Lonchura striata: one gene and its partner. The protein of the gene in region 1 interacts with the protein of each later gene in a biochemical or structural test. Links are inferred from orthologs where the notes say so. Each region holds a gene or a part of one and is shown on either strand. Other genes may lie near its edges.

What was found.
Region 2: the proteins of FKBP8 (region 1) and EGLN1 form a complex in vitro, tested with the Homo sapiens proteins (2 studies listed by BioGRID, with this or other methods). The link is inferred for Lonchura striata from reciprocal best matches to the Homo sapiens genes FKBP8 and EGLN1.

The regions. Positions count from the first base shown.
Region 1 is NC_134630.1:7,138,623-7,153,100, reverse strand, and holds FKBP8 (peptidyl-prolyl cis-trans isomerase FKBP8), read left to right. Parts: upstream 1-8,676; 5' UTR 8,677-8,760; intron 8,761-9,262; 5' UTR 9,263-9,276; coding exon 9,277-9,550; intron 9,551-9,686; coding exon 9,687-9,856; intron 9,857-10,097; coding exon 10,098-10,186; intron 10,187-10,426; coding exon 10,427-10,644; intron 10,645-10,717; coding exon 10,718-10,890; intron 10,891-10,974; coding exon 10,975-11,052; intron 11,053-12,969; coding exon 12,970-13,107; intron 13,108-13,509; coding exon 13,510-13,596; 3' UTR 13,597-14,331; downstream 14,332-14,478. Other genes in the region: REX1BD (required for excision 1-B domain-containing protein), read right to left, coding at 372-460, 546-750, 1,265-1,347, 2,169-2,171; UBA52 (ubiquitin-ribosomal protein eL40 fusion protein), read right to left, coding at 2,915-3,008, 3,110-3,212, 3,306-3,392, 3,472-3,574; KXD1 (kxDL motif-containing protein 1), read right to left, coding at 6,093-6,328, 6,861-6,907, 7,930-8,082, 8,167-8,261. UniProt on the Homo sapiens protein: Constitutively inactive PPiase, which becomes active when bound to calmodulin and calcium. Seems to act as a chaperone for BCL2, targets it to the mitochondria and modulates its phosphorylation state.
Region 2 is NC_134605.1:43,656,909-43,673,692, reverse strand, and holds the start of EGLN1 (egl nine homolog 1), read left to right. Parts: upstream 1-9,099; 5' UTR 9,100-9,229; coding exon 9,230-10,144; intron 10,145-16,784. UniProt on the Homo sapiens protein: Cellular oxygen sensor that catalyzes, under normoxic conditions, the post-translational formation of 4-hydroxyproline in hypoxia-inducible factor (HIF) alpha proteins.

The DNA of each region.
Region 1 (14,478 bases):
CCCATATGGAGCGTATTATGTGGGCCGCCTCGCCTTCCCCGCGCTGTTTATGAAACACTCAGCCTGGGGAGGCCGAGGGGACGCGGCCACGCAGCGCCGCCAGACCCCGAAGGCACCATCTGGGCCCCCCTGGGCCGCAGGGAGGGCGGGGAAAGGCAGGGAAAGGCAGGGAAAGGCAGGGAAGGGGCTCCTGGCCTGGGCTCCACGATCCGTGCGCGTCCCTTCCAACTCGGGACACTCCAGCATTGAGCGGGCTGGGGAGGAGGTGCCACCCCAAAACGAGGGGAGAAGGGGATGGCAATGGAGGTTCTAGCCTAGGGGGGTGCTGCCTTCCCAAAATGAGGGGGGACAGCAGCAAAGCCACCACCTACTTGTGCTTGAGCTCCTGCACCTCCTGCCGATGGGCGTCCACCTCGGGCTGGTCCTGTGCCTGCTGCTGGGCCAGCTGCAGCTGCGCCGTCTGCGGGGGGGACACCACGGGAGCTGAGACCCCCCGAAACCAGCCCCAGCACTGGCCCGGGGAGCCCCCCCAGCCCAGCACCCACCAGCTGCAGCTTCTCCTGCTCCCGCTCCTGGAGCCGGGCCAGGTGCTGGGCCAGCTCGGGGCGGCCGAGCTCGTCCCGCAGGCGCCCGGCGATGGCCAGCACCTCCCGGGAGATGCCGCTGAAGGCCACGGTGACCTCGTGCACCAGCTGCCGGTACCGCGGGAAGTCATAGCGGGGGCCACTGCTCAGGTATGCCCGGTGGCCCCTGCGGACGGGTCGGGGGGAGAAGCCACTGTCACTGTCACCACACACCTGGGAGCTCCCGGAGCTCAGCCCCCTTTGCCACCCGCCACGGGCAGCACCGGGAGGGTTCTCCTGCCTGCTCCTGCCTGGATTGGGCAGCATGAGCAGGCAGCCTCATCCCTCACACGGGACAGGGTTGGAAACTGATTTTTTTTGGGGGGGGGGAAAGTTGGGGGTTTGGGTTTTTTTCATCCTTTACACTCTCAGCCCTGCATCCCAACAAGTCCATCATCTGCTGGATGCTAAAATAGGATTCAGGTGTCCAGCGCAGAGTCCCGCTGCCAGCTGGAGCTCATCAGCCCTCCCCGTGGCCCCGTCCCAACAGGATGCAAAATAATCGCGATGGGGAATCCGGTTCCCTGCTGGGGGTGCCCCGCTCCGGGAGGTGCCGCGTGTCCCGCCCGTCCCGGTGGGTGCCGCCCCCCGGGAGCCCGTCCCCGCCCGGTGCCGGTGCCGGTGCCGGTGCCGGTACTCACTCCTCGAAGAGCCGGTACGTCTCGACCCGCTCGCTCTGCAGCGCCCGCAGCCGCTGCAGCAGCTCCCGCACGGCCTCGCCCGTCTGCGGGACAGAAGGGGACGGGGCGGCACCGGTGAGCCGGTAACGGCCACCGGTGAGCCGGTAACGGGCACCGTGAGCCGGTAACGGGCTCCGGGCAGTGCCGGTGCCGCCCAGAGGGATCACCCCAGTGCCGGGGCAACGCGAACTCGCCCAGCACCTGGTCCTGGGGGTCCCGGTGGGTTCCGGCCGCGGTGCTTGAGCTGAGCCCAGCACCGGCACCGGGACCCGCCCGTCACGCACCGGGACCCCTCGTATCCCCGTGCCCACCCACCGGGCCCCCAGGCCGCTCATATAGGAACCGAACTAACACCGGGATCCCCCAGACACGTGTCCGCGATACCGACGGGCACCGGAACCCCCGTCCCGTCCATGTGCGCATCGGGACCCCCCTCTACCGGACCGGTACCGGCATCCCCGGCCATGCTCACACAACCCGCACGGGCACCGGGACCTCCCCGGCGCCGGGATGTCCCCAGCCCGCTGCAAACGCACCGGGAGCCCCCCGGCCACGTGTCCACGGAGCGGCACCGGGATCCCCGGTTCACACCGGACCCCGCACCGGGACCCCGCACCCACGAGCCTGCCGTGCCCACGCGCGCACCGACCCGCTCGGTCCCGGTGCCGCCCCTCCCGTTCCCGTCCCGTTCCCGGTGTCGCCCCTCCCGTTCCCGTCGCGCTCCCGGTGCCGCCCCTCCCGTTCCCGTCCCGTTCCCGGTGCCGCCCCTCCCGTTCCCGTCCCGTTCCCGGTGCCGCCCCTCCCGTTCCCGTCGCGCTCCCGGTGCCGCCCCTCCCGTTCCCGTCGCGCTCCCGGTGCCGCTCACCATGGCCCGGCCCGGCCCGGCCGCACGGCGCAGGCCCGGGGCCCGCGGGGCGGAGCGCGGTTCCGCCGCCACCTGCAGGCACCGACCGGCAGCGCCGCCAGCCCCGTCCCCGGTACCGGGGCCGCCCGTGCCGGGAGCGCGCGGCCGGGTCCCGGTGACGCCTAGCGGCATGCAGCGGGGGCTCCGCGAACAGGGGGTCCCGGTACCCGTCCCGGTACCCGTCCCGGTGCCCGTCCCTGGACACGCGGCCGGGGGCTCCCGGTGCGTTTGCAGCGTAACGGGGAGAGCCCAGGACCGAGCCGGTCCCATGCACGCCTGGCCGGGGGTCCCAGGGGTGGTTAGGGGGGTCCCAGGGGTGGTTAGGGGGGTCCCGGTGCCCGTGCAGACCCAGCTGTGGTGACCAGAGGCTCCCAGTGCACGGCAGGGGCGTGCAGGGGTGCTGGGGACAGTCACCCCCGTGGCTGGGGCTGCACGAACAGGGTCCAGTCCCCGGCCACGTCCCAGTGTCCATCTGCTGTGTGCACAGTGCCGGGGTCCCCACGGGTGGGCACGGGGGGTCCCAGTGCCGGCCCAGTCCGTGCACACACTGCCACCAGCACCACCACCTCCGTCCCTCCCCACCCTCTGTGCTGCTCCAGTACAGCCCCCGCTGTACTGAAAACCACGATTTGGGTAAAAAAACCACCAGAAAACGGGGCTGAGGATTGCAATTCTTTATTAGCCAGCGCAGGCAAGGGCTGGAGGCTCTACTTGACCTTCTTCTTGGGGCGCAGGTTGTTGGTGTGCCCGCACTTCTTCTTGCGGCAGTTGACGGCGCGGGGGTGCAGGCGGGCGTAGCACCTGGGGGGGACAGGTCAGCAGAGCCCTGGGGAGGGGCTCTGGGACCGCGGGGGGCTGCAGGAAGGGGCTGAGGGGACAGGGGAGGGGACACGGGGACGTACTTGCGGCAGATCATCTTGTCGCAGTTGTACTTCTGGGCCAGCTGGCGCAGGGAGGGTTCGATGATTCCCCCTCGCAGGCGCAGCACCAGGTGCAGGGTGGACTCTGCCAGGAGACATCGGCGTCACACCGGGGCAAAAGGAGAGGCTGGCACCTCAAAAACGCCCCCCCGAAAAAGCCCCGGGGTGCGGGGAGCACCTTTCTGGATGTTGTAGTCTGCGAGGGTGCGGCCGTCCTCCAGCTGCTTCCCCGCGAAGATCAGGCGCTGCTGGTCGGGGGGGATCCCTGCGGGACACGAGCACCGTGCTGGGGACACCGGGGGACCCCCGCGGGGCCACCCCGCTGCCGCCGGCCCCGCCACTACCTTCCTTGTCCTGGATCTTGGCTTTCACGTTCTCGATGGTGTCATTGGGCTCCACCTCGAGGGTGATGGTTTTGCCCGTCAGGGTCTTCACGAAGATCTGCATCTCGGCACCTTCTCACCTGCGGCAGCGGCGGCCGCGTCACCCCGGGCCGGCCCCGCCGCTCCCCGGCCGCTCCAACCCTCCCAAAGCCCCGTTCCCGAGCGCCCCATCCCGGGATCCAGCCCCGATCCCGGGATCCAGCCCCCATCCCGGGATTCAGCCCCCATCCCGGGATCTAACCCCCATCCCGGGATCTAACCCCCATCCCGGGATTCAGCCCCGCTATGCCCGGATCCGCCCCGCTGTGCCGGGATCCAGCCCCCATCCCGGGATCCAGCCCCCATCCCGGGATCGGCCCCGCTCTCCCGGGATCCGGCCCCCATCCCGGGATCCAGCCCCCCATCCCGGGATCGGCCCCGCTCTCCCGGGATCCGGCCCCCATCCCGGGATCCAGCCCCCATCCCGGGATCGGCCCCGCTCTCCCGGGATCGGCCCCGCTCTCCCGGGATCCGCCCCGCTCTCCCGGGATCCAGCCCCCATCCCGGGATCCAGCCCCCATCCCGGGATCCAGCCCCGCTCTCCCGGGATCGGCCCCGCTCTCCCGGGATCCAGCCCCCATCCCGGGATCCAGCCCCCATCCCCGGATCCAGCCCCGCTGTGCCCGGATCCGCCCCGCTCTCCCGGGATCCAGCCCCCCATCCCGGGATCCAGCCCCCCATCCCCGGATCCAGCCCCGCTGTGCCCGGATCCGCCCCGCTCTCCCGGGATCCAGCCCCCCATCCCGGGATCCAGCCCCCATCCCGGGATCCAGCCCCCATCCGGGGATCCAGCCCCCATCCCGGGTTTCGGGGCCCTCCCGCAGGATCCAGTCCCGTCCCCGGGGACCCAGGGCCCCTGCCGGGATCCAGCCCCCGCTCCCCGCTCCCGGATCCCGGTCCCCCTGCCGGGATCCCGGGCCCCAGCCGTGCCCCGGGCCCGCTCCGGTCCCGCACCGCGCGCACCCGCGGCCGCGCTGCTCAGGGAAAGGGAGGCGGGACCGGAACGGCGGCGGCGTCACCTCCGGCGGGGACACCGGTACCGCCCCGGGACCGCCCTGGTACCACCCCGGTACCGCCCCGGCACCTCCGGCGGGGACACCGGTACCGCCCCGGGACCGCCCCGGGACCGCCCCGGCACCTCCGGCGGGGACACCGGCACCGCCCCGGGACCGCCCTGGTACCACCCCGGTACCGCCCCGTCACCTCCGGCGGGGACACCGGCACCGCCCCGGGACCGCCCCGGGACACCTCTGTCACTGCCGGGGTGACACCGGCACCGCCCAGCCCCGGTACCGCCCCGGCACCTCCGGCGGGGACACCGGCACCGCCCCGGGACCGCCCCGGTACCGCCCCGGTACCACCCCGGTACCGCCCCGTCACCTCCGGCGGGGACACCGGCACCGCCCCGGGACCGCCCCGGCACCTCCGGCGGGGACACCGGCACCGCCCCGGGACCGCCCGGGACCGCCCTGGTACCACCCCGGTACCGCCCCGGCACCTCCGGCGGGGACACCGGCACCGCCCCGGGACAGCCCCGGTACCGTCCCGGGACGCCTCTGTCACTGCCGGGGTGACACCGGCACCGCGGGACGGGGCACCGGAGGTTCTGCACGGATCTGGGACCAGATCAACCCTGACCACATGGACCCAGGACTGACCCCCCTGGGACTGACCCCCAAATTTAACAGTGCCCACAGCCCCGGGGACTGACCCCCAAATTTAACACTGCCCACAGCCCTGGGGACTGACCCCCAAATTTAACAGTGCCCACAGCCCCGGGGACTGGCCCACACTGACCCCACGGATCCCAGACCGGCCCCACAGCCCCAGAACCATCCCATGCTGGCTCCACAACCCCATGGTGGCTCCCACAGCTGCAGCTCCAGGATCAGCTGCAAAACCCACTCCTGCAGCCCCCAACTCTTCCCTCATCCCCACCCAGGCCTTCAGGACCCCCAACCCCAGCAGTTCCTGCATCACACCGCAGTGCTGGTGGAAAAGAAAGATCTGGACAGCTCCTGTTCCTGGGAGGTGCCTGTGGAGCAACCAGCAGCACTGTGAGTTTGAGAAGCAAACGCGGCTCTGGCTCATCCCAGCAGTGGAGAACTCAGCCAGCACAAGTCCATCAGCAGCAGGGACAGGCCCCTGGCACAGCTGCTGGGCACACAGAGCCTCAGAGGCAGCATTTCCTACAAAACCTAAACACCTGTGCCCCAAAAACGGCTTTTCTGCACCAAAAAATCTATGCAGATGAAAGCGTAGCCGCTCTCCTGAGCGCAGGAACGAGGGAGGACAAGAGGCATTTCCAACCAGGATTTACTGATTCCCCTGAAGCCAGCGCTGGCTTTCCACCCCAGCCGCAGTTTCCAGGCAGAAGGGCAGCGCCTTCCTCCCTCAGCTTCTCCCAGTTTCGCTTCCCTCTTCCCGAGGAAAACCAAAAAAAAAAAAAAAAAAAAATAACCAAAAGCAAAAAAGCAAACCCAAAAGAGCGACACACAGCTATAAATAGAGGATAGAAAGTTCTCCGGGGTGGGACGTGGCTCCTAGCCCAGGCCGCTGGCCGTGTCCTCGTCTGTCAGACTCTGTCCGTTCACGGCCGGGCCGTCGTAGTGGCCTTGGGATAAATCCTCAAAATCCTGGCTGGTGGCAGGGGAGATGACGTCGGGGCTGGTGTCACAGGACTCCGTGCTCTGCTCCGAGGTAGCGATGGTGGTCGTGGTGCTCTTGGGGACGGGGTCGAAGTCGTCGTCGTCCTCCAGGATGGGGGACTCGTGGATGTCTGAGAGGGGAGAGGGAGGTAAAGGTTGGTGGTGGGGAGAGCAGTTCTCCCATCGTGCTGGGAGCAGGGATTAAAAAATACCCGGAGAATCACCAGCACGTAAATTAGGGGTTGTTTGTGATTTCTTGCAGCTGGATTTAATGGAATTAAGGAGGGTTTTTTTGATTTTTAGGGAAGCAGCTACATGCCAGCACATGGACTTGTGACTCCTGAGAGATGTTCTTGGGAACAGAAACTGCTCCCACAGGAATAAAACAGAGAGTGGAGTTCCAGGACAAAGGGAATGGCTTCCCACTGCCAGAGGCAGGGATGGATGGGATTTTGGGATGGAATTCCTCCCTGGGAGGGTGGGCAGGCCCTGGCACAGCTGTGGCTGCCCCTGGATCCCTGAAGTGCCCAAGGCCAGGTTGGATGGGGCTTGGAGCAGCCTGGGGCAGGGGAAGGTGTCCCTGCCACGGCAGGGGTGGCACCAGACGGGCTTTGAGGTCCCTCCCAGCCCAACCCATGAATCTGCACGTCAGGAATCACTCACTGCTGAAAGCCTCTGGGTACTGCTTTGCCAACTTCCCTTTGAGCGCCCTGGGGAGGAGAGAACAATCCGAGTCCGTGGGGAGCGGAGGGAGCCGGAGCCGAGCTGCCCCACAGCTCCCAGCGCTGTGGGCAGTGCACACGAACCCCGAGGCTGAGGGATTCCCACCCCAAACCCCCAGAAGAGCCCATCCCACCCTTCCCAGCACACGGGCTGTTTCTGAATCCCACGTTCTGTGACCATCCCAAGCAGAGCCCATCCCATCCCATCCCAGCCCATCCCAGCCCATCCCACCCATGGCAGGGACACCTTCCAGTGTCCCAGGGTGCTCCAAACCCCCTTGGGCACTGCCAGGGATGGTCACAGCTTCTCTGGGAATTCCATCCCACCGTCAATCTTAAAGGTCCCAGAGGGAGGGACACCTTCCAGTGTCCCAGGGTGCTCCAGACCCCCTTGGGCACTTCCAGGAATGGTCACAGATTCTCTGGGAATTCCATCCCAGCCTGGAGGTGGGATATTCCTTCCCAATATCCCACCCAGATTCCCCTTCCCACTTTGAAGCCATTCCCTGTGCTGGGATTCCAGTCCTTGTCCCAAATCCCTCTCCAGCTCTCCTGGAGCCCCTTCAGGCTCTGGAAGTGGCTTCAAGGTGTCCCTGGAGCTTCCCTCCTCCAGCCCGACCTCCAGTTCCCACAGGGAACGATCCCTTCCCCATATCCCCCCATCCCCGTGTCCTGTTCCTCCATCCCTCATCCCCAGTCCCTCTCCAGCTCTCCTGGATCCCTCAGGGACCTCCTGGTGACATCTTCACACCATGGTGTCACCTCGTTCATGGAACCAGGGACTCCCAGAGTGCTTGGAAGGACCTTAAAGCCCATCCCACCCCAATCCCATCCCGAGCAGGATCATGGAAACCCAAAGCTCCAACCTCCACGTGTCACTCCATCGTGTATTTTCCCTTCCGCAGCAGATTTTTCTTCTCACAGCCCCCCAGACTCTGACCTGTGCCCCGCTGTAACGCCCCGCCAGCCCCCCCAGGCCACCTCCCGGGCCGGTATCCCCGGTTTCGCACCGGATCCTCCGGAAGATGCTGTCCAGGTCCTTCTTCATCTCCACCAGGGTCCGGGTGTGGTGCAGGAAGCGCTCGCTCATCTGCTGCATGCGCACGCTGGAAAGGTTGTTGAAGTTGAGCAGCATCTCGTTGGTCTTCTCAAACCGATCCAACCTGCGCGGGGGAGGCACCGGGAGCTCGGCAAAGCTCCCGGTGCCGGTACCGGCACTCCCACCGCCCGCTCCCCCCGGGACTCACATGTTTTTCTGGGCTAGGATGATGGCGTTGACGTCCTCGGCGTTCACCATGCCCAGCACCCTCCCGCAGAACACCTGCGAGGCCGTGGGCTCCATCGTGGCCTGCGGGACCGCGGGACCGGCTCAACCGGGGGCACCGGAGCCCCCCGCGCTCCCCGCACCGGTAACGGAGACCCCCCCCCTCCCCTTCCCCTCCGTGACAGCGGGACCCCCTCCGCCCTGCCGTGCACCCAGCAGCGGGCACCCCGCCGCCGTGCCGCCTCCCGGGGCGGCCCCGCTCGCCGGTAACGGGATCCGCTGGCCGCCCGCCGGTGCCGGTAGCGCCGCCAGCCCCGGGCTCCCTCGGGAACACGGGTGCCTGAGCTCCCACTGGTGTCCCCGGGGCCTCCTCCCGGCAGTGCCCGCGCACCTGCGGGAGCCCGTCCCGCCGCTTCACATGACGGGAGCGGTCCCGGTACCGGGGGCGGCAGCGCCGCTTCCGGGTGTGCAGTCACGTGGGGCGCGACCCCGCGCCGTCACCGCGCCGAGCCGGAAGTGCCGGAGAGCGGCCGGGCGGGAGGGACGCGACCCCCGCGGGCATCACGGAGCCTCTCCGGTACCGGTGCCGGTGCCGCGCCCTCGGCCCCGCCGCGCCGGGGCGGCCGCGCTGGTGGCGGCCCCTTTAAGGCGTCGGGGGGCGCCGCGGGCGCGTGGCTGACGGGCGTGCTCCCCGCCCAATGGCGTGGCGCGGTGGGCGGAGCCGGGCCAATAGGAGCGGGGGGGCGGGGCCTGCGCCCGCGCGTCCGCGGGCCAGGTGGGAGCGGCGGGGGGCGCGCGGCGGTCACGTGGGGCGGGCGGGGGGCGCGGGGCCGCCCCCCCCCACGGCACCGGGACCGCGACCCCCGGTCCCACCGGGACAGACCCCCCCACCACCGGGACAGACCCCATCCCACCGGGACAGCCCCCCGCCAGGCCCCATCCTTCCCCGCGCTCCGGAGTCTCCGCTGTCCCGTTGCGCATCCCCCGGCCCCGGAGGGTCCCGGTGCTGTCCGGAGCGGCGGAGCGGCTCTGCCGGTAAGAGCAGGCTCCATCCCTGTGCTCTCTCTCCCCCGCTCCAGGTCGCTCCGCCGCCATGGCGTCCAGCGGGGAAGAAGCGAGGAGCGGCTCCCCGGGCCGGGCGGGCACCGGCACCGAGCCGGCGGCGGACGCGGCTCAGCTGGACACGGCGGAGGATTTCGAGGTGCTGGAAGAGGAGGAGGAGGAGGAGGAGGAGGATGACCTGAGCGAGCTGCCGCCGCTGGAGGCCGTGGGGCGGCCGGCGGCCCCGCCGCGGGAGGACGCGCAGCCCCCGGAGCGGGGCGCGGGGGGCGCGGCCGGGGACCCCGAGGAGTGGCTCGATGTTCTGGGTGAGAGCGGACGCTGCTCGGTGCCGGGGCTCCCCCGGGGCTGCCGCCGCCGCCAGGGCCGGGCGGGAGGCGCAGGAGGGTGGGGGCCGCCGGGCTTTGCCCTCCCCGCGATGTGCTTCGCTCTCTCTGTGCGCAGGGAATGGTTTGCTCAAGAAGAAGACGCTGGTGCCGGGCCAGGGCGCGGACAGCCGTCCCCAAAAGGGCCAGGACGTGACAATCCGCCTGAAGGCCACGCTGGAGGATGGCACCGTGGTGGAAGAGGACCCTGCCCTCACCTTCACGCTGGGGGACTGCGACGTCCTGCAGGTGAGCACCTCACCTGGGAGCAGGACCTCACCTCGGGGGCCACAGGGAGGGTTGGGGTCGGTGACATCCCTTTGGTGGACATAAGCGGCCCTTCTGCCCTTTCTCATGCTCCTTCCCTGCGATGTTGGCTGAGTTAGAGGGGGTTTGGAGCCACCTGGTCTTGTGGAAGATGTAAAGGTCCAACCGTGACGGGAGGTTGGAACTGGAGAACCTTCACAGTCCCTTCTGTTGTCCCCTGCAGGCTCTGGACCTGTGCGTGCAGCTCCTGGAGATGGGCGAGACGGCTTTGATTGTGTCAGAAGCCAAGTACTGCTACGGAGCTCAGGGCAGGTGAGAGCTGGCAGGGCGCTCCCAAACCAGGGCTGGAGAAGCTGTCCCCTGCTCCCCTGGTGACAGCCCAGCTGTCCAACCTCTGCTTCCTCACGAGCAGCGTGTCCTCCCTGGAGCCGAACGATCCCCATCATTCCCTGCCCCAGGAACCTTCCCTGGCTCGGATTGCTGAGCCACGGTGCCGAATCCACCCAGCCCGGCACCTGAGAGAGGTGACAATGGCCCCGTGGCTTTGTGCAGGAGCCCTGACATCCCCCCCAACGCGTCGCTGAGGCTGGAGGTGGAGCTGCTGGCGGCTCGGGACGCGCCGGACCTGGAGCTGCTCAGCGGCAAGGAGAAGATCCAGCTGGCCAACCGCAAGCGGGAGCGTGGCAACTTCTTCTACCAGCAGGCAGACTATGTGCTGGCCATCAACTCCTACGACATCGCCCTCAGGATCGCGGGCTCCAGCTCCAAAGGTAGCTTGTCCCCACCAGGAGAGGGTCGCTGGGCTCCTGGCTCTGCTCTAACCCGGCCTCGGGGTGTGTGCAGTGGATTTCAGCCCGGACGAGGAGGCCGAGCTGCTGGACGTGAAGGTGAAGTGTCTCAACAACCTGGCGGCCTCGCAGCTGAAGTTGGACCATTTCAAGGCAGCTCTCAAGTCCTGTAACCTGGTGCTGGAGCACCAGCCGGGCAACATCAAGGCTCTGTTCCGGAAGGGGAAGGTGAGGAGGGGACCCTTGTGCGCGGCGTGGCGGGGGCTGAGGGGCGGCTCAGCCCTGCTCCTCCACCCGCGTGTCACCCTGCAGGTGCTGGCTCAGCAGGGGGAGTACAGAGAGGCCATTCCCATCCTGAAGGCAGCCTTGAAGCTGGAGCCTTCAAACAAGGTAGGCTGGAGGTGTGTGCTGCCCGTGATCCCCCTGAGCTGGGCATCTCCTGCATGCTGCTTCTCCATTGTCTGCGTCCCTACAAAATCAGCGTTGCCCCTGGGAGGCTGAGACTCCCTGGAGCTGTCCCCAGCTCCGTGGAGGGAGGCTGGGAATAGCCCCCAGAGCCTGGGGAGTGATGGAAGCATCACGTGGAGTGTGGCTGGGCTGGTCTCTAGCCTTATCTCCACGGTGAGAGGTTCCCCGTTGACCTTTGGTCCTGCTGGTGACAGGAATCCCTGCCAGCCCATCCGTGCTCCAGCCATGCCCCAGGGAGGGTCCAGGCTGCCCCAGGTGGCTCGGGCACTTTGTGCTGTGGCTGGGGGAAGTGGAGCAGAGCTGAGTCCCCACAAACTCGCTGAGCAGCCCCAAGAGTGAATCACTGGCTGCTGGGAGCAGCCAGAGCTCAGTCCAGCACCCGGGCAGGGCGAGCTCTGGGTCAGGAATTTCCTGTCAGTTAATGATCAGCTGCAGGACTGGAGCCTCGGGAGAAATCAAACACCAGTGCCAGGAAATGACCCCAGCAGGAGCGAGACTGGGAGGAGGCAGGGAGGTATTGCCTGCACAGGGTCATCCTGGGGGTCTTGGCTCTCCAGATGGGCTTTAATCCTCGCCTGGATCTCTTGTGTCCATTTCTTTCTTGGGAGGTCCACCAGACCATCAGGATACATGTCACAATCCAGTCCCTGAAGGTCACGGCTGAGATGTGGCACAAGCAGGTGCCTGGTGGCCCCACAGCACCTTCAGGGGCGGTCTGAGCACCCTTGGAAGGGCGAGCAGGACCCCAAACCCTTCCTTTGCCATCAAGGTCAGGGTGGAGAGGGAGCAGCACTGGGAACCATTCCCCTGGCACGTCCCTGGGCAGGGCGGCTGCTCCCCAGTTCCGATGGAGCTTCTAATTGGAGAGGGCTGGAAAATCCGAATGCCCGGCAGTGACGTGTCCAGCGAAACCACAAGGACAGCAAATTACTGCCCTCCCCGGCTGCTGCCCGGGCTCCAGGCAGGCGTGGGTGACTCAGGGGCCGCAGCTACCGGTGCTGAAAACACTCCAGCAACGCTGGGCTCCACCTGCCCTGCTGCGAGGCGCTCACAGACATCCCTTCTCCTGAGCCCTTGGAAGTGTTCTGGGGGTGCTGGTGGTTGTGTGAGGCTGATGTGACAGCCCCGGGGAGCTCTGAGCAGGAGCGTTCTGTCCTCCTGACACCCAGGTTTTCGTGTTGGAGGCAGCTTTTCCCGGCGTGGCACGGGCTGGCAGAGCCGGCGTGCTGGGGATGTGTCCCCCAGCAGAGGGCACAGCGTGGCTGTGCCACCAGGGCCACCACCACCACGTCCTTCTGCCACCCTGCCCTGCTCAGCTCCGAGGTGCTTCCTGCTGCTTTTGGGGAGCCTGTGGGCCCCACGCAGGACTGGGAGCCTTGTCCTGCCCCAGCAGGGCAGATGTGGACACGCTGCAGGTCCTGCTGCAATCCCACTTCACACCAGGCTGAGTTTTAAGCCCGCTTTCCCAGCCTGCTTCCAGACAGAAAGTGGGAGAGCTGGTGCATGTCTGTCCTCGAGGCAGACACTTTCCTGTCTCGATGAAAGGATAAAATCCCTTTCCTGATGTCTGGCATCAGCCCTGGGCTCTGCTCCCGGCTGCCAGGCAGGGAGTGGCTTGAGCAGCCAGAAAGGACAGAGGGTCACTGGACCCACAGGGTGTCCCCTGGTGCAGCCCCACGGCGTTGGGCATGGGGCAGGATGAGGCCCCGTCACCCCCTCAGCCCTTTCGGAGCTTTTCCTGCATATCCCAGGGGTGGTGGAACGTGCTGTTGGGGACAGGTCCCCTTCCTGGCAGGCAGGGATGCTGCAGGGCTGATAACAGCACGCTGTCCTCCCCAGACCATCCACGCCGAGCTCTCCAAGCTGGTGAAGAAGCACGCGGACCAGAGGAACGTGGAGACAGAGATGTACAGGAAGATGCTGGGGAACCCCAGCACCGCCGGCACCCCCGGGAAGTGCAAAGACAAACTGCCCTGGGTAAGGCTCTCGGGGGTGGGGGTCCACAGCGGGTGTGTGAGTGTCCCCCAGGCCCCGCAGGAGGGACACAGCCCTGCTGCTGAGCAGGATGTGGCCGGGCTGCCAGGACAGCGATCCCGCTGGGAGCAGGGGGCCGAGCTCCGGGAGCCGTGCCCGGAAAACATCCCTGATAACAGCCTGTGCTGCTGGCCGTGCCCGCCGGATCCCGGCCGTGCCAGCTGCGGGCTCTGGACTTCGCTCCCAGCTGCCCGTCCGTCGTCGGGAAGCGCCGTCAGCTGGCGGCACACGCCGTCCCCAGCGCTGCCTTTTTGGGACGTCCCGTCCAGCGGGCCGGCCGGGCGGGGTGGCACGTGTGCCCTGCCACGGGCACGGCCCCTCACGTCCCCGTGCTCTGCTCCGCAGTCCATCCCCTGGAAGTGGCTCTTCGGCGCGACGGCCATCGCGCTGGGCGGCGTGGCTTTGTCCGTGGTCATCGCGGCCAGGAACTGAGGGTGGCACCGGGGCGGCCCCTCGGCACAGGGCCGGTGCCAGCTCCTGCCTCTCCGTGCCCAGGGGCTGCCCCGAGGTTCTGCCACCCCTCGCCGCCCCAGGAGCTTTCTCTGCCGGCGGTGCCGGATCTCTCCCCGGCGTTCCCCACATCCCTCCTGGCACGGGCGGGTGCAGCTGTGGGCAGGGAGCTGCCAGCAGAGCGGGGACCCCCGGGCAGCTCCCTGCCATCAGGGGCTCAGCCCCCAGCCCCGAGGGTGTCGGGGGCACCGGTACGTCCTGCCCGTGCCCATCCCGTGCCCATCCCGGGTGTTGGTTGTGGTCCTGCTGCCAGGACGGGATGGGCAGGGGGAGGAGGCGCACGGAGAAGGAAGCTGTGGGAAGTGATGTGGATGTGCCCAGGGGAGACACAGCGACATTCCCGATCCCTGGGGGGCTGCCAGGGACCCAGCCCGCCTGGAGGCACCCGCTGCCCTCCTCTGCACATCCCCGGAGCGTGCAATGTCCAAAGGAAGCCAAAGAATCGCGTGGTGGGAGGGATGGAGAGGGGAGCGCTGCAGACCCCCTGTCCTGGCTGTCTTCCTGTGGGTCCAAGCCTGCCGGGGGTCCCTGCCTGCCCTGCAGCCCCCCCAGCGCCTGCCGCTGCCCAGCCTCAGCTCTGCTCACAGGGGGTTGTAGCACTGCCCTTGCACCCCAAACTGACTGTGAACTCCCCAAATAAAGGACAATTCCTTCACATTCAGGTCTGTTTATTGCCACGCATAGAGTGTGCGGTGGGGGGCAATGCTCAGGGGGGAGCCTGGGACACCAAAATCGGCCCTGGAGGAAGCCTGGGACCTTCAGGCTCTGCCTGGGGATCAGGGGATCCATGCCGGGGTGCTCATG
Region 2 (16,784 bases), on another chromosome or scaffold:
CTCCACAACTCTGCTTCCTCTGCCTCCATTGGAGCTCAGCACTCCCCCACATGACATTGCAAAATCTCCTCAGGGATGAAGACCTCCTCTATTTATAGAGCACTGAGGCTAGATGAAAGTTTCCAGAGAGTTTTCTGGAAGAGCTCACATCTAGCTGCTCTGAAGGCTTTCAAAGGGAAATGAGTTTCCATCTTGCTTTAGAGCTTTGCCCAGCATCTAACAATCACTAAACCTTTGCAGTACAGTATGTAGTGCACCAGGCATGCGTTTGATGTTATACATTGACATTTATGAACCTCTGAAAACTTTTCTTCCTGACAAGCTTGGGGCAAATTCTCTACCATGAACTCATATTCTCAATTGATTTTTGTCCTAGGTCTGTGATTCAGAGCTATCTTAAGACAACAGAGAAGAAAAACTGTTTTTAGCTTTGTGCTGTGGTTTTTCCTTAAAAGATTGAGGCTGATATTTTTAATTCAAAAATAAGGTTCCATTAACAAATGCACTGCTGGATGTTGCTCCACAAAGATATGATTCAGCATTTTTTTTACTTATGCCACAAGTCAAATACAGAATATGCTTTAAAATAGTGGATAAATGAATGGCTATAGCTGCAGCTAAAATAAGGTAGGAGTCAGGCTGGCTTCACAGGGGGGCATATCCACAAACACATTCTGTGTGCTTATATGAGATAGCCATGTTCAGCCTCTGAAACTGATAAGCTGCTGTTTATTAAAAAAAAAATAATAAAAAGGCAGCAAGCCTTTGACTACTTCTGCCCACAGCACATGGCTTTTATTGGAAGATGTGTTTGCACAAAGGGAGGAGTGTTGCCTCCTACACAAATTTCAACAGCCATTTGAACAATTTGGTAAATTGATGAGGATAGAGTCTACATCTATTGTCTGCCTTTCCCCTCCAGTCAGAAGTCAATCACACAGTGAGGAAGCTCTAATCTAAAGGAGAAATCTTCCTTAGGAATCTGCTTTTTAATGAAAACATGGAACATGGTCCCAGCATTACGGACAATCTGAGGGTACACACATACACCCTGATATAAACAAATGAACAAACACCAATATACACCCGAAACAACAACAAAAAAGAGAATAATTCCAGGGAGAATATATAAGCCTAATGCAACAGGAAAGGAAAAAAAAGTGAAATCCACCTCCTGACAAGATAAATGTTATCATCTTCCCTTGCACTGTAAGTGGATGAAGAAGGAACAAGTTGCTTCTTGACCTGTTTTTTGCTTCTGCATAAAAATGAAAGGCCATTTCTTTTAGTACCAATAAAATGCCACCTTTTCTCTAAGTCACTAATTAGCTGACTGGATGAGCAAGGAACAGGTTCAGGTGACTCAAACAGTGACAAGCTGATGCAGAATGATAGCAAGACTCAATCACAACCCAGCACTAATTACAGCTTGTAGCAGACACTATCACTCTGAACACAAAACAAGGATGTTAATAATACAAATCCAGCTGTGCACTTGCACAAAATCCTTGTAAGCTTAATTTTCCAAGACTTAATCTTTCACTACTGCTTTTTAAAAGCTCTCCAATGTACAACTCCAACATTATGATTCAGTGGATTCATGAACAGCATTGTGCCATCTGAATGCCCATTGAAAGAGATGAAATGAATAGTATCAGTTTAGATCATGCAGGGAGAAGACAACCATTTTGGTAATATGGGAATTTAAATTATTGTATATCCACTACTAGCATTCCTGGTTTAGTAAGTACCTGTCCTTGGTATAAGTTGCTTGGGATGTGCTTTAAAACATTAAATATCTTATACTAATACCTAATACTCTGGTATTAGTCAAAGAGTATTTGCACAGAGGGTTGTGCTTGTTAACATAAGCAGAATAAGACAGAGAACACCATCATAATGAGCATCCATCAATATCTCATATGTTTAGAACTGAACATATGAGTTCAGTTCTAAAATATCAATAACTATTATCATCAACAGCCAGAACTTTTCAACTACTAAAACCTGAAAATAAAAACAAAGAAACAAACAAAAACGTACAAGATTGGAGTCACTGACATGTTGTTCGCGCCACAAATAGCCTGAAACATCTCTCCTTGCACCCTTAGATAGCAGTATCAAGTGATGCTAGCCATTATCCTGTCTTGGTACAAAATACCCTGCACTTTGGATCTGCTGATCCCCTCAATAGTTTCAAAATGAAAAGCTTCTCTTCAATCAGAGAAGAGAGAAAGTAGAAATGGGTCAAGTTACACAATGTGAAGTAAATAAGAGTGAAATTACATTATATGACCGAGTCAGTTTACTATTCTGACTTGGGTGGTCCTGCTTTTCCCTCCCAGATCCTTGCCCTGCTGGTCCCACACCCTCTCTTACACCACATCAAACCGCTTGGTAAGCTGATCCAACTTGTTAATCCAACAGAAAACTACTCTCTTGAGCTGACTCACCAAAGGGCTTGACAAGAGTGAAGCCAAGGAGAAAGGCTCTGGAGGGAGCAGAACCACCCTTTCTGGTGGCATCAACTCCACACTGTGTCTTAAATGAACCACAACTGAAGAAAGTGTTGAAGAAAGGCACAAGAGGAGCACTGAAAGCAAACAAGAAAGGCATAGAGTAAGGGCACTGTGTCTTTGGGAAGAATGGAAATGCAAGAATAGACATCACAAAGCCCTTGGGATGTGATAGACACTGAAGGGTGCAGCGGCAGGAGAGCAATAGGACATTGAATCATGTTATGCATCAGAGGGGGGCAAGGGAACACAGGCACTGTCCTGGCAGAAGGAAGAATGGCTAGTGACAGAAAACACAGTACCAGTGAGTCCACCTGGATTGCAGTGGTTCTTTGGAGTTCAAGCTTAGATTGCTTTTGTCTTTGTGCATCTGTAGCCAGGCCTGGCAAAGGTGAGCTCTTTGGGACAGATGTGCTACTTCGATAGTTTTAACAAAACATGAGCTATAATATTGTGTCCCAATTGTTCAAGAAAAGAGGGAGGACACCACTGCTCACACAAAAAACAAACAAAATGAAACCTGTCCCCATTCTTCTCATTAAACTGCCTAATCAAAAAAAAAAAGAACAAAAATCAAACCACTGTTATTTAGGAATACCACCTAGTCCGTCTTATCAGCTCAAAACCTCTCTCATTATTATCTTTTCCTTCCTCACTTAAATTACTGAGACACGTCTCTCATAGCAGCAAATCTCTTAAGTTCACCGTTTTCTTGGAATCTCCCCTACTTGTACAACTGCCTCCCTAAGAAAAAGAGTTTAGGGGTATCAGAAATTGTGCTAGTGATGTGGAGAAAGGGAAAAGATACTGCATCAACTGCATATCCAAAGATAAAATGTCCAAGTTTTTAGCAAATTTGTCTTCATAGTTTTAAGGAACACTTCTTGAGTTCCTCTCTTGAGCTCTGGGTAACTGCTCATGGGTAATCAGAAAAAAAGAAAAAAAAAAAGGTGGAGATTTTGTAACTCATTAAATATCATGGTATATTGCAAGGCATGAGCTGAGGTATTCTCAAGCTTCCCAAACCAAGGGGCAGAGGGCAAACTGTCCCTGCCTACACCCCAGGGCATCCCTGTTCTCTTTTCCAAGTACAAGACCAGGCACTGGCAAAAGTACGAACTACGTGTCTGGCAGCCGAAAGACGAGGAAAGAGAAAATATGATGTGCAATAAATCAGGTACACACAAAATAATCGTGGCAGGTCACATCATCCTAACACTGCTCGGCATTGTTTCCACCTTAATGATCTTTCAGCATGTCACCATGCTGAATCATGATGACAGAGAGGCAGGAAGCAGATATCAGATGCAGAATGAACAGGTCTTTTTGTGATTGTGGTGCTATGAAGCACTGGGCTTTATGTTGGAGTCCTCTGTTCTCACTCTGGAACACCTGTGTGTAGAAAAATCAAGAATAATTTCTGGAGCAGTTCAGATAAATTTGACCTATATACAGATAAAACAGGAATCTCTCTCTTTTTTTTTTGCCCCCAAAACTGCTTATTGCTGTATCAGTGAGTGAATTTCAAATGGGTTTAAAAAATGTTCTTTAAAAGTAATTTTCTGTTCATAACTGGACTTTGAGCACCCTGAGGGCCTGCTGGCTTGCTTAAGTTAGAGGCCAAAAAAATGTACATAATTGTCAATCTTTAGTAAGACAGGGAGTTCTTTTCTAACCAGAGCCAGAAATACTCCCTCTGGAGAAATATCACAAACAATGTGAAAAAAAAGCTTTTGAACTTTCCATGGTACAAAGTTTAAAATGAGGACAAAACTGGAATGAGTTGGTCTTGAGCATTTTCTAAGATATTCTGCATTTCCATAGCTTTACAGATACAGACATCTGGAAGCAAAATTTTCAGTTAAAAAGAAAAGAACCCCATTGTTATTTCACTAGCATAGTTAATTTTCCTTAAACATTAATAAAATTATTACAGTAGACAAAAATTTTAATATGTATAAATATCTCTGGATCAACCCTAACCATATTTTTGGTGTAAAAAAATGGGCTATATTCCCAGATATTAAACTGTATATAATTTCAGACAGATCCAGGGACAGCAAAATCAATTTTAGTTAAACAGCCTGGAGGAATCGCATAATATTAAAGACAGCATTAAACACAAATTTACATAAAGTAATTGAGAATACTCCTTGTAATTTAGTCCAACACTTATAAACACATACAGTGAAAGTTGTTTACTTTTAAACATTAGATCATTATGATATTCAGTGATAAACAACCAACTTGTTCTGGTACTTTAATTTCAGCAAAAAGTTTTAAGGAAACTCTACAATGGCATCAACAAGCACTAAGCAGAATGAAAGATGGTACAGGGTACTGCAGATTATTTTCAGAGCTTTAAGCCAAATTCTCTGTTGGCCCAAGTGCCCTATTGTGGAGTTGCGTTATTCCCCGGCACCCTATGCCACTTCATACTGTGGAAAACACCAAGTTCCTGGCATATCAAAGCCTGGATCTGGAAAAGTTCTGAGACCCCCTCAGTTATGCTGCCCAAATGATTTGAGGGGACCCTGTGTTTGGTCATGTACTTCTCTGTAATGGCTGGCACTAGTCCCACCAGGCAATAACCCCACACCTTTCAGATCACGTCTACTGGGTGATCCTTTCCTTGCTTTGCAGAAACAGGGGCCAGGGGAGGTATCTGGGAGATGAATAAACCATGCTAACCCTTTGAGTACCTCAGGAAAAGAGCGTGCATTCAACAAAGGAGCACTTCCATAGCCTTGTGGATGTACTCTGTACACTTTGTCCTGATTAGAAAGGAAGTGAGTTTAACAGAGAATCCAACTCAGACAAGCAGCTCTCTCCTTTAATTTGGAAAATCTGCAAACCTGTTACAGTTCACTTGCTAGTATGAAAAGCAAGCTTGAAAAATGGCACTGTTGAGACCAGTGAATAATGGTTTAAGTGGAATAGCAGCAGTCAGGCTGAAGAACATGGTGGAGTGGTCTGGGTGGAGGACAGCAAATGCTACAAGCCCCCAGGTTCTGACTTTTAATTATGATGCTGTTGTGGACATGCATCTGTCTCACTGATGCCTGATGCTACCACTGACCTCAGAAGCACATGTAGCTTCCAAAAGGCCTTCTGGCACCAATGAAAAACTTAGCCTGGTCTCCAAGCACTTTTTATCCTATTCACAGCAAAACTACCTCAACATGAGATTACTTTTCATTTAAACTCTGTTTCTAAACTGACTTTGTAACCTTCTATAATCTTGTCACTCTGCATTCCCCTTCTCCCCAGGCTTCAAAGATTCTTTTTTGGTTGCTTATATAATCTCAGTGCTGCAGTACACAAGCTATCTAAAGCATGGTGTAAATGCAGCTATTATTACCACTTAATAAAAACAGAAAAGTTATTCATTGACCAACCTTTTTCCCCTTTCTAATAAACATATCAGATCTAAATGGTGATAAAAAACTATGACCTTGCACTAAGTTTATCCCATAACATCCTCATCATGACTGGTATTTAATTTTAAAGACTTTTCACTGCCTCTGCAAAGCAGTATGTCTCATCATTACTTAGTCAGCAGTAAAGCTCTTTTCCAACATTCACTGACACGGACAAGAAATTAGGAAGTCCCTTCCTCCTCTGTTCTGGCAACCAGCATATTGATCATGTTACTTAGTATACCATATGTTGCTTTTTGTTGTGCTTTGTCCTTACACTTTTAAGGCACAAGCTCTCTGGCAATGAATAGAGTCTTCTATGCTAGGAAAATATTTCTAGCATGTTGCAGACACTATTGTAATATAAATACTCATTGTCTTCCTGAGTTTCCTTACCACCACTGCTCCTCAACACAGCTTTGTCACTGTAAAACAACCTTCATTAAGTTTTGTGTCACTGGTGTAGTGCTGCAATAATAAGGCAAATCCTTCATACTCCCAAAAATGGATTTTATTGAACTTGGTATTTCTGTTGACCATGTTGACCGTGCTGTGAGACAGTATGATGTCGAGACAACCTGAAGTAGCTTTGCACATTAGCAAATGTGAAAACTAAGACCTTTAATTGTATCCCAAAAAAACATGTGGAAAAGAGAGGGAAAGAACATAAGACTTCTGAAGCCAAATTAGCCTGTAAATTAATAACTATCATTAGATTTTAGCCAGGCACCATATTTGTGCCTCGGTCTTTTTCCGAGTTGTTTCATGGTTGGATGATTGAGTTTCAAGTCTGTGACTTTCATCTGCCTTGTGTTTGCTGAAGGAGTACACAACAAATGCAAAAGATCTTTAACTCTTCAGTTTCTATCTGGCAGAATACCACTGTTTGCATTTCTCAAGTTTTTGAAAAGAACAGCCTTAACTCTCTTCTCATTTAGCCCAGTTTAACAATGCTGCAAGTCCAAGGAAATCAGATGAATTAATCTCATCTTAAAGCATGCTAGAGGAATGCCTAAACCAAGTATTTTTGACATACCTCATATACCTATAGTTGAAGGAAAAACTCTCATTAAACATACATTAAAAATCTGTCCACTTCATGCACTAGATTTAAAACTTGGCTTTAATCCACTTCTTTCAGCCCTCACCACAAAGAAATTACTAATCTGGAATTTTGTTTTTAGTTGCCATAGTTTCCAGTTAATTTGCCATCTTTTCTTTTCCTTTGGTTGTGTGGTTCTTTTTAATTCTCCCTTGGAGCTCACTAGTCATATTCACCTTGAAATTTTATCCACTGGGCTTTCATGACCTTGTCCTCTCAGTACTCCTTTAGCCTTTCTAATAATTCACCCCGGTTTTCCTTCTCATTTTTCATGTACGCACCACAAGGCACTTGTAGCCTTGGTACACTTTGTTTCTGCTGCATTCTTCATATAGTACACTTAGTGCCAAACATTCCTCCAAGTCTTCTTGCCATGCCAATCAATCCTACATCCAGTTCTGTAGCAGAGATAAACACTAAACCATTTTAATTGCATACATAAAGTCATGTCACTATAATACAAGTGTATTGCAGTGTAAAACCTCACAAAAGCCTGCGAGAATCAAAAGCATTAGTATTCCTCTTTTACAGTGGCAGAGAACAAATCACTTATCCAATGTCACATGAAGTCCTGTGGCAGCCTCTGTGTTCATTTCACCTTTCTACCTCAAAATCTGTAATATTGGGTCATGTATTTTACCCTTCTTGGGCTTTAGAAAGGATTTTCTTAACTTACAGTGCAGACCAATAGCATGCATCGTGTCTCACCAGCCCAGCCCACAGAGCAGCTATTTGCTGTCAGTTCACCAAATGCTTTCTCTGAGGAGATGGGCAGAACATCCAGTCCAGGAGGAATCATTGCTCTGCCTCACCACACGGCTCTGAAGCACCGACCACCGTGTTGGGCTGTACTGCAGGAAACTCCACTTTCCTAAACCATACCACAAGCAAGCAAAGCCATGATTAATTGGATCAGTGGAAGCTTAAACGTCACCTCAGAGGAGTCCAGATGCCCATGTGGCTTCTGACAACTGACGTGACTGAGCCGAGACCTTTGTCCCTCCACCAGCACTGCTCTGCCAAACGAGTTTCCTTTTGCCTGTCAGGGACTTTGCCATGTTCATCACAGCACAGGCCCCAGCTCCCGGTCTCACCTTGTTTTGGCAGCTACATCACCTAGCTTGTTCTTCCTGCTTTTTGCCTTTTCATTTCTTAATTAGCCTAGCTCCAGCCTTCACTACTACTCCGTTAGGCGGGACACAAGCCACGTGTTAATTTATGTAGGAGACAGCACGTCTCTCCCGCTCCACCAGCTACCCGGCAGGAATATTTTGGGGCCTACGGGAGTGACAAAACCCACTCTAGCCAGGTGCCGCGGCCGCCACCCTGCCTGTCACTCGAGCCGCCGTGCCCAGCTTCCACGTCACCCGCCGCTCCTCGGTGCCCCCGCCTCACCTGCGGCAGGCCCACACCCCACAGGGGCAGCTCGCTACTGGGGTCACGGGCCACCCTCAGACTAGCGACCTGCCCGGCGACGACGGGGCGGCCCCGGCAGCCCAGAGCAGTGACACCGCCCAGCGGCTTCCCCGCTGTCCCCGCCGGGAAGGCCGCACTCGCCACGGCGGGGGGAAGGGCGCCATCCCCCCAGGAGCCCTGCGGCCCCGCGGCCCGTCCGCGGCCCACGACGGTAGCGGTGCTCTCGGCCCCTCACGCAGCGGCGCGGAGGACGCGGCCGGCTCCGAGCCGGCCCCGCCCGCCCGGCCACGCCCGCCTGACGCGCCGGCGGCGCTGGCGGGCTGGAAGTGGCGTACGTGCACAGCGGGCCTCTGGAGTGGCGCCTCCTCCTCCTCGCCCCGGCAGAGCGGCGGAGGCGCGGTGGGGAGAGGCGGCGGCCGCGCCGGCCCGCGCTGCACCGGGCAGAGAGGCCGGCGGGGAGCGGAAGGCAGCCCCGCACCGCGCCACGCCGCTGCCCCTCGGCCGTTCCGCCGCCGGTGGGGCGGCGATGAGGCGGCGCTAGGCAGCGTTAGCGGCGCAGGGAGGGCGGCGCGGGCCCCCGCGCGCCGGAGGAGGCCGCGGGCCGGCGGAGGTGGAGGGCGGCGGGGGCCGCGGCGGAGCCGGAGCCGGGCGGCCATGATGCAGTAAGCGCTCCCTCCCCGCGCGGCCGGGCGGGGGCCCGCGTTAGCGCCGCTCCCGCCCGCCTCCTTACATAACACGACCCGGCGGAGCGGGGCTGCGGCGGCACCACCAGCGCCATGGCGAATGACAGCGGTGGAGGCGCCGGTCAGGGCGGCCAGGGCGAGAGCGGCAGCAGCAGCGGCAGCAGTAGTAGCAGCAGTAGCGAGCGGGACCGGCAGTACTGCGAGCTGTGCGGGAAGATGGAGAACCTGCTGCGGTGCGGGCGCTGCCGCAGCTCCTTCTACTGCAGCAAGGAGCACCAGCGCCAGGACTGGAAGAAGCACAAGCTCATCTGCCGCGGCGGCGGCGCTGCGGCGGCTGGCGCGGCAGGGGGCGCTACCGAGCCCCACGGCGGGCACCCCCCGCCGCCCCGCGCCCACGGCGGGGCCGCGGCGGGCAGCGGCAGCCGGGCGGGGGTCGGGAAGGGCGCAGCGCCGCCGTCCCCGGAGGCCCCCGCCGAGGCCGCCCCGCTGACCAACAATCACGTCGCCGCCGCCGCCGCAGCTGCCGGCGGCGAGGCGGAGGCACCGGCCGCGGCCCCGTCCCCGTCGCCCTCCGGGGATGCAGTGCTGCTGTACCGGGACAAGTCGAACCTGTACCCGGGCGGCGTGCAGGCGGGGCCCGCTGGGGCCGCGCTGCGCCCCAACGGGCAGACCAAGTCGCTGGTGCCGCAGCGGCTGGCGCTGGAGTACATCGTGCCCTGCATGAACAAGCACGGCATCTGCGTGGTGGACGACTTCCTCGGCAAGGAGCTGGGCGGGCTGGTGGCCGAGGAGGTGCGGGCCCTCCACCACACCGGCCGCTTCACCGACGGGCAGCTGGTCAGCCAGAAGAGCGACTCTTCCAAGGACATTCGCGGCGACAAGATCACCTGGGTGGAGGGCAAGGAGCCGGGCTGCCAGACCATTCGGCTCCTCATGAACAGCATGGACGATCTCATCCGACACTGTAATGGAAAGCTGGGCAACTACAAAATCAACGGCAGGACGAAAGTGAGTGCGGGAGGGCGGGAGCTGGGACCCCCGATGCCCGGCCTCCCCTGCTCCTGCTGCCAGGGGGTTGTGGCGGCGGGAGCGGGGCCGCGGAGCCGCGGAGCCGGCGCTTCCCGGCTGCGGGCGTGTGTGCGCGCACGTGTGCGGCTGTCCGGGGGGCTGCGTGCGTGTGCGCACGTCCGTCCGGCTGTCTGTCTGTCCGTGCGGGTGCCTGTGTGGGGCTGTGCTGTGCGTGTGTGCGCCCGCTGCCGCTCCGCTCCCCGGAGCCGACTCGTGCTTCCGAGTCGTGTCCAGTTCTGAGCTCCTCAAGATCAGAATGAAGCTGCTGCCTTTCTCTAGAGGGTCACAAAGATGATTAGGGGTTTGGAGCATCTCTATCATGAAGAGAGACTGCGGGAGCTGAGCCCTTTTAGTCTAGTGAAAAGAGGATAGAGGGGATCTCATTAATGTATGTAAATATCTCAGAGGTTGATGTTAAAAACACGGTGCCAGACTCTTCAGTGTTGCCCAGTGACAGGACAAGTAGCGGTGGCCGTAAACTAAAGCACAAGAAGAAGAACTTCTTGACAAGAAGAACTTCTTTACGTGTAGGGTGGCAGAGCACTGGAACAGGCTGCCCGGGGAAGTCGTGAAGTCTCTTATCTGGAAGCATTCAAAACTCGCCTGGACGCCTTCCTGTGTCACCTGCTCGAGGTGACCCTGCCTGGGCAGGAGGGTTGGACTGGATGATCTCCAGAGGTCATTTCCAACCCTAACAATTCTGTTCTCACGCCCGGTCGTGGCGGGACCCCTAGCCCCAGCGGGTTTGGGCCGCAGCCTCGGCGGGTGGGCTGCTGTCCCCTTGACCCAGAAGTCTATCCGCTAGGTGATGAGTATTGAAATGGGAGTTCTTTCGTGGTCTCCCGAAAAACGGGGTAACAGTGATCTGACGGGTTGTGGGAAGCAGGGGGCTGGCTGCGAGGTGTCCCGGCAGCGGTGCTGGCTGAGCCTGGATCCACTAGTGCATAGTGTTTTTGGGCTCTCATGAATGTGCTGGGTTTTGGTAAACCTTGGCTCAGGATGTGGCCTGCCAGGTGCAGAACTTAAAAATGTGGTCAGGAGACCGGCAACAGTGAGTGAGTGCACCGGTGGCACAATAAACCCGTGAATTACAGCGAGGCACTCTGGCAAATGGTGTTGTGGCAGGCAGTGGAATCACAGCCATTGAGCAGGGCGGCTTTGGGCAGTGTTTTTATTTTACTCTCATTAAGTCACTTTTCCACAAAAATCTTACTCTATAGCTCTATTTCAAGACCAGAGAACTAAGTAAAAATCTCCCATTGTATTAGCCTAATTTGTGATTCCCTTCCAGTCCTTTAAATAAAATTCATGCCCTTGGTAGAGAGCTAGTAATGAATATTCATCAGTATCTTTTCAGTTTAATAAAAAAAAAGAAGAGGGGTAAAGCCCCTTCAGACTTTGCTACCTCTGTTAAAGCATAAGGAAGCGAGTGAAATGGTAGGAGTCATCCTGCCGAGGTGGTTGCACTGTCACAGATGGACTGTTGTTGCTGCAGCTGCAGAATCTCAGCTGGTAGGAAGCTGCGGGAGGGAGGGAGGAAGGGAGAAACTGGAGGGCAAAAAACAGCCCTGGATTTGTTCAGGGCACGGGAAACTCCCGTGATAAAGAAAAAAGGGTGGGATTTTTTTTTTTTTTCTTAATGCTGTCCTTGCATTTCTTCAGTTGAACCAGTACTGTGCTAAAACATTTAAATGGGAACGTGGTATAGAGTCCTCATAGATTCCTGCAGGATTTTTCTAAGCCAATTTCTCTTTCAGGCAGTGTTAAAGCTCTTCAAGGCTCTTCAACTTGCACTCTAAAAATATCAGTGGTTTTGCTGGATTTCAGTTTTATCCAGCAGAAAGGAATACTTACTCTGTTTTTATGAACAGTGGTATGCTTCTGTAAAGAATAGATGCCAAGGCTTTTGGAGTTGTAATCCTCAGTCAGGCCTGTAATTCCTGAACTACTGTATTTTATGTTCCTGCTTGGTTTTAGAAAGCCCTCTGTATGGGGGATCAGAACAGGTGCAGGGATCAGATCAGTAAAAGCACAATGCTTTATTCCTTGGTGGCACAGAAATGCATTACCTTGTCTTCTCATTTTCCCTTGCTTATTTCCCTGCAAAAATCAGTGCTTTTAGTGTGCAGGAAAGCTCAGTCCTCTAAAATGCCAGTAAAAGCAGAATGAAAACTGTCATTCACTCTCAAAGATTTATCTCAGAGTTGAGTAAACAGAAGGAGACGATACCCAGAGTATCACTTCAAATAACTTGTATTGTAACCATATAACTTGTAACCCATGGGTGGTGTTGGCATTGAACCTGCCCTCTCACTTCTTTGGCAAATGTCTGTTGAAATGCCCGTCAACTGTCTAGAAGCAGTGTATGAAAAAGCAAGAAGAAATGGATCTGGGGTATATATACCCTGAATCTCTTGTCTTGTAAACCTGCCTGTCAGTGAAAATCTATGTTGTGTTAATAGGATCTAATTCAAACATTTACATTCACCAGGGCCAGTCCATTAAGGCAAAGAACATGAAATAAGGTAAAATGTTGGTTGTGACTTGAGATTTTATATTTTAAAGTCTCTGATAGATGCTTTCTCTAGGTTACCAGGGCCACCTAGAACTGGTATACATAAACTGATGTGGTTCTACCTATTCCTGAGTGTCAGCAAATTACTCTCCAGCCTGAAAGATATCTATACAGCACTAGTTATAAACTAGCCAGGTAACTTTGAGATGTGTGGAGACAGCAGCAAGTATAAGAGAATGGCTAACTAATTTTGTTTTAGAGTGGCTAACTATTTACTCATCTTGGAAGTCCTGACTTACTGCATTCCTTGCTTTTGTTCTTTCTTTCCAGACTCTGCTTCCTTCTTTTCTTTAGCAGACAGTGGCACATACTTGCATATTTGAGCTCTTGTCTTTCTCCTACTTCCTGTTATTTTCTAGTTTTTACTTCTTTCATCTTTTCATAAATTCTCTTTTTTTTCCTTGATCTTATCAGTTGCCACATTTGTACATGCATGTATTTCTGTTTCTTGCCTGTCCTGTTCTTACATGACTAGTGGAGGTAAAAGCCTGCTCATCAAAATCGGGGAAAGAAATCATCCTAAATCTCACCCAGGTGAGATGTTTTTTCCTCCTTTCCCATATGGAGCATGAAGAAGGGGTTAAGGGTAGCAGCAGGTTTATGATTTTTTTTTGTTAGCTTTCTCTTTCCCCTGTTGTGGACTCTGCTGATCTGAGGCATACATCCTTTACTGGTCCTGGAGTAATACTGCGACTTCCCAGTTGTGGACTGGGTTCCTAGTAATCATATAACCAGACACGTGATCCATCAGCTATTCTGCTTTCTGCTCACCATTACACCCAGTACCAGCCCTCTCTTAAGCCCTACCCTCTGCCTTTTGTTAGAAGGACATTAAAATAGACAGTTTGACAGGCCGTCTTGCATCCCTTTAGTTTTTCTTTCATTCCTACTTCTAGAAACCTGTCAGGAGACTAATCCTGTTCATATTGCTGCATTTTAATGCTCTCCTCTCTCTAGTAGTAGGCTAGTGGCAACCCACTGCTTCTCAGCCACCTGTAGCTTAAAAAATTGTTTTACTTGTTACATATCATGCAAACTTTCTTTTCTGCATTTTCTGGCAATTGCTAATCTCTTACTCTGGAGATCCTGGAGTTTTCTGAAGACCTAGGGGACTCTGGGTTCAGACTAGTCCGACTGTGCCCTATTAAATTAGATTCTTTCAAAGTTAGTAATGCTTCTTTAGAAAGTAATTCTCCAAGAGTGAGTGGGTTTCTCATACCCTGCGGTTAGCTTTTTTATAAACTGGACAGAAGAGGCTCTCTACTCTTGACACTTGCAGCTTTTCTACAAACATGTTGGATTAATGTTACCAAGGAAAATTAAGATTTATGGGTGTTCTTTCCACTATATCTTATTCTACAAAATATAACTTTAAGCATGTGTGGCAATAAGAAGACAAATGAAAAATAAGAGGGAATAAGAACTTGGCAACCAAGCAGGTACTGGAAAGTGATGATGATACCAAAACTCTGGTAGAAGAAAGGAGAGGGATCACAGGGGCAGGTGTGCAGCTGGGGTAAGTCCTCCTCTTGTTGAAGGACCCAAGAGCTGTGACTGGAGATCTGGGATTAGGAATGTCTGTAAAGTGGGAGGCTTTCCTTCAGTTTGCCTGTGTCATGTGTGATTACATTGATCCTCCTGTATCATTCTGGAGATCATTTCACTATCACACCTTGAATTTATTTCTTGGTAGAAAACTTACTGATCTGATTGGTTCCTAGTGAATGACCTCATGTACAGCTTGGAATTTGCCACTGAATTGTGGGAAAATGTGGGTAGGTCTCTCCGTCTCCAGTACTCGCTTGTGTTGCTTCACCTTGATACAGAATATGACCAGTGCTTGTCCTTATCTGTTGGTTGTTTCCCTGACAGCAGCTTCTGTTGGTGATGTTGTTTTCTTGTAGATGAGTTTGCTGTCTTCGAAGGATTGTGTGGTGATCCGTGGATACACAACAGCCCACACACCATTCTTAAATCCCTGTTAGAGTAGAGCCCTGACATGTGAGGACTATAGTTTTGATTTGCTATTCCTCATGTACAAGCCTTTTGGGTCCCAGATGAAGCAGATGATCAGGGGAGTGACTGGGGTTATTCCTGCAAATGATCATTTGATGGAGAAGCATAGCAGCATCCAGAAAATACTCTTGTTCACAGCCAACTTTAGAATTGCTGAGATTCTGACAGGTTCTCCTACTAGAGAAAATTAGATGTGCTGGTTTCTGAGGGGCAGCTGTGTGGTGACCGCAACTTTGAAGTGTGGTATGAATTCCAAGGGTGGGGTGCACCACCTGTGACTGCTAGGACTTCTCCACACCCTTGTGTGTTAGGCTGTAGTTCAATGAACATTCTGGGCTGGCAGTGCTGGAGGAGTATTCATTCTTCTTTGCCAGCACAAGTATTTACATGGCCATCCTGTGAACTGGTTTTGGGGAACTGATCCATCTGAAAAATAAACTGGCAAAAGAAGTGCTCCTGGTTCAGTGTTCGGATGTTTGTGCTGGCACAGAGGACTGGCAGATGGTGAGACTTTCTTTCAGCAGCAATGTAAATTTATGCCAGTTTAAAGTGTTTGCCAAACTACAGCCTTAGTTTAGCACTTGAGTCTGATTCTCCCAAATTTTGCCCTTGAAAATTTAAACATAGTTTAAGAAATCTTCACTAGCTATGTAATTTTTTTCTTTCTTTTTTTGCTCTTACGTGCTCAGTGTGAGGCTCAGTTCTTGCCATCAGAAACACATACTTCTGTCCTCCAAGAATCTTTCTTACAACAATTTTATACAGAAACTTTGCTCATCTACCCACCAGGTGATCCCACATAACATGTACAGTGGAACATGTATCTTCTCCAAATGAAAACTGATTTTCACACACTCCTAGCTTCAAAATCAATCTTCTCTTAAGCTTATTGGCTGTTCCTATCCCTTATTCTAGAGTTTTATTAGCATCAAAGATGTTCTTGACCTCTGTTTCAAGAGAGCTGGATTCATGTCATCTGCCATGAACAGTGTGCTGCAGCTTGCTTCTGTTTGCTGCTGTTGAGGAGGGTCCCTGCTCAGCCCCATCCCCTTATGCCAGCTCTAGTGCTTGTTTTTCTTGCTTTTCCAAGCCATTTTTGACTGTAACTAGAGTTCACATTTTGTAGTTGTTACTGTTCTGGAGATAAGGAACCTGTGGCATTATAGTTTGTACTCATCAGTGATTTTGGTACACTATGGATAATTAATTTTTTCCTGCCAGTGATATTAATGATTTTTTGACTATGTTGCTTCTTTGATGTTCTATGCTGTCTCTTCTGCAAGGATTGGGCTCATTTAATACTGCCTAAAAATTAAGTGGGATGCTTCTCATCATAGCTGTACAGCTTGAGAGGAAGAGCTGTCTTCCCTTCCCTGTGGCCTCTTGGACTGAAATGCTTTGCAGGTGATGTCCTGCCAAGTCATAGGACTGTCTGAACGGCAGTTCTCAGATCCCTGGGTTAGTTGTATCAGTAACCTTGACTGGTTGTTGAGAGATGTTTTCCTTTTTGTCTAAATGGTGCTTAATTTCTGATTAGGCTGCTAGCTATTTCCTGAAAAAATAAATTTACAGCATATTATTTTCTTCTGTGATATTTACCATGTTCATTTGATTTGTAATTCAGTTGGATAGCCTGTCTTGATTCATATCTGATGGCTCATGGCTAAAACAGGCTAGGTTGCTATTGGAATTTTGCAGGATGCTGTCTTTCTGGTTGCTTCTGTGTTGTTCTGTACTGTTCTGCTAGTACATATGTTTGTATGTCTAGGTATGTACATAGTGTACTTGCAATTTAAAGGAAGGCTTTCTCCTGCAGCAGAAAGGAAACTTTTTTTTAAAAGGGAAACAGATACTCTATATCAAGCAAAAATTTCTTCTTGCCTATCCAGAATAGTTTGTCTTTAGACTCCTTAGAGAGCTCTTGTACAAAGACAGCACTTTTTTCAGTTCTAAAATTAATTTTGGGACTGGTGTGAGTGGATTGGTTAG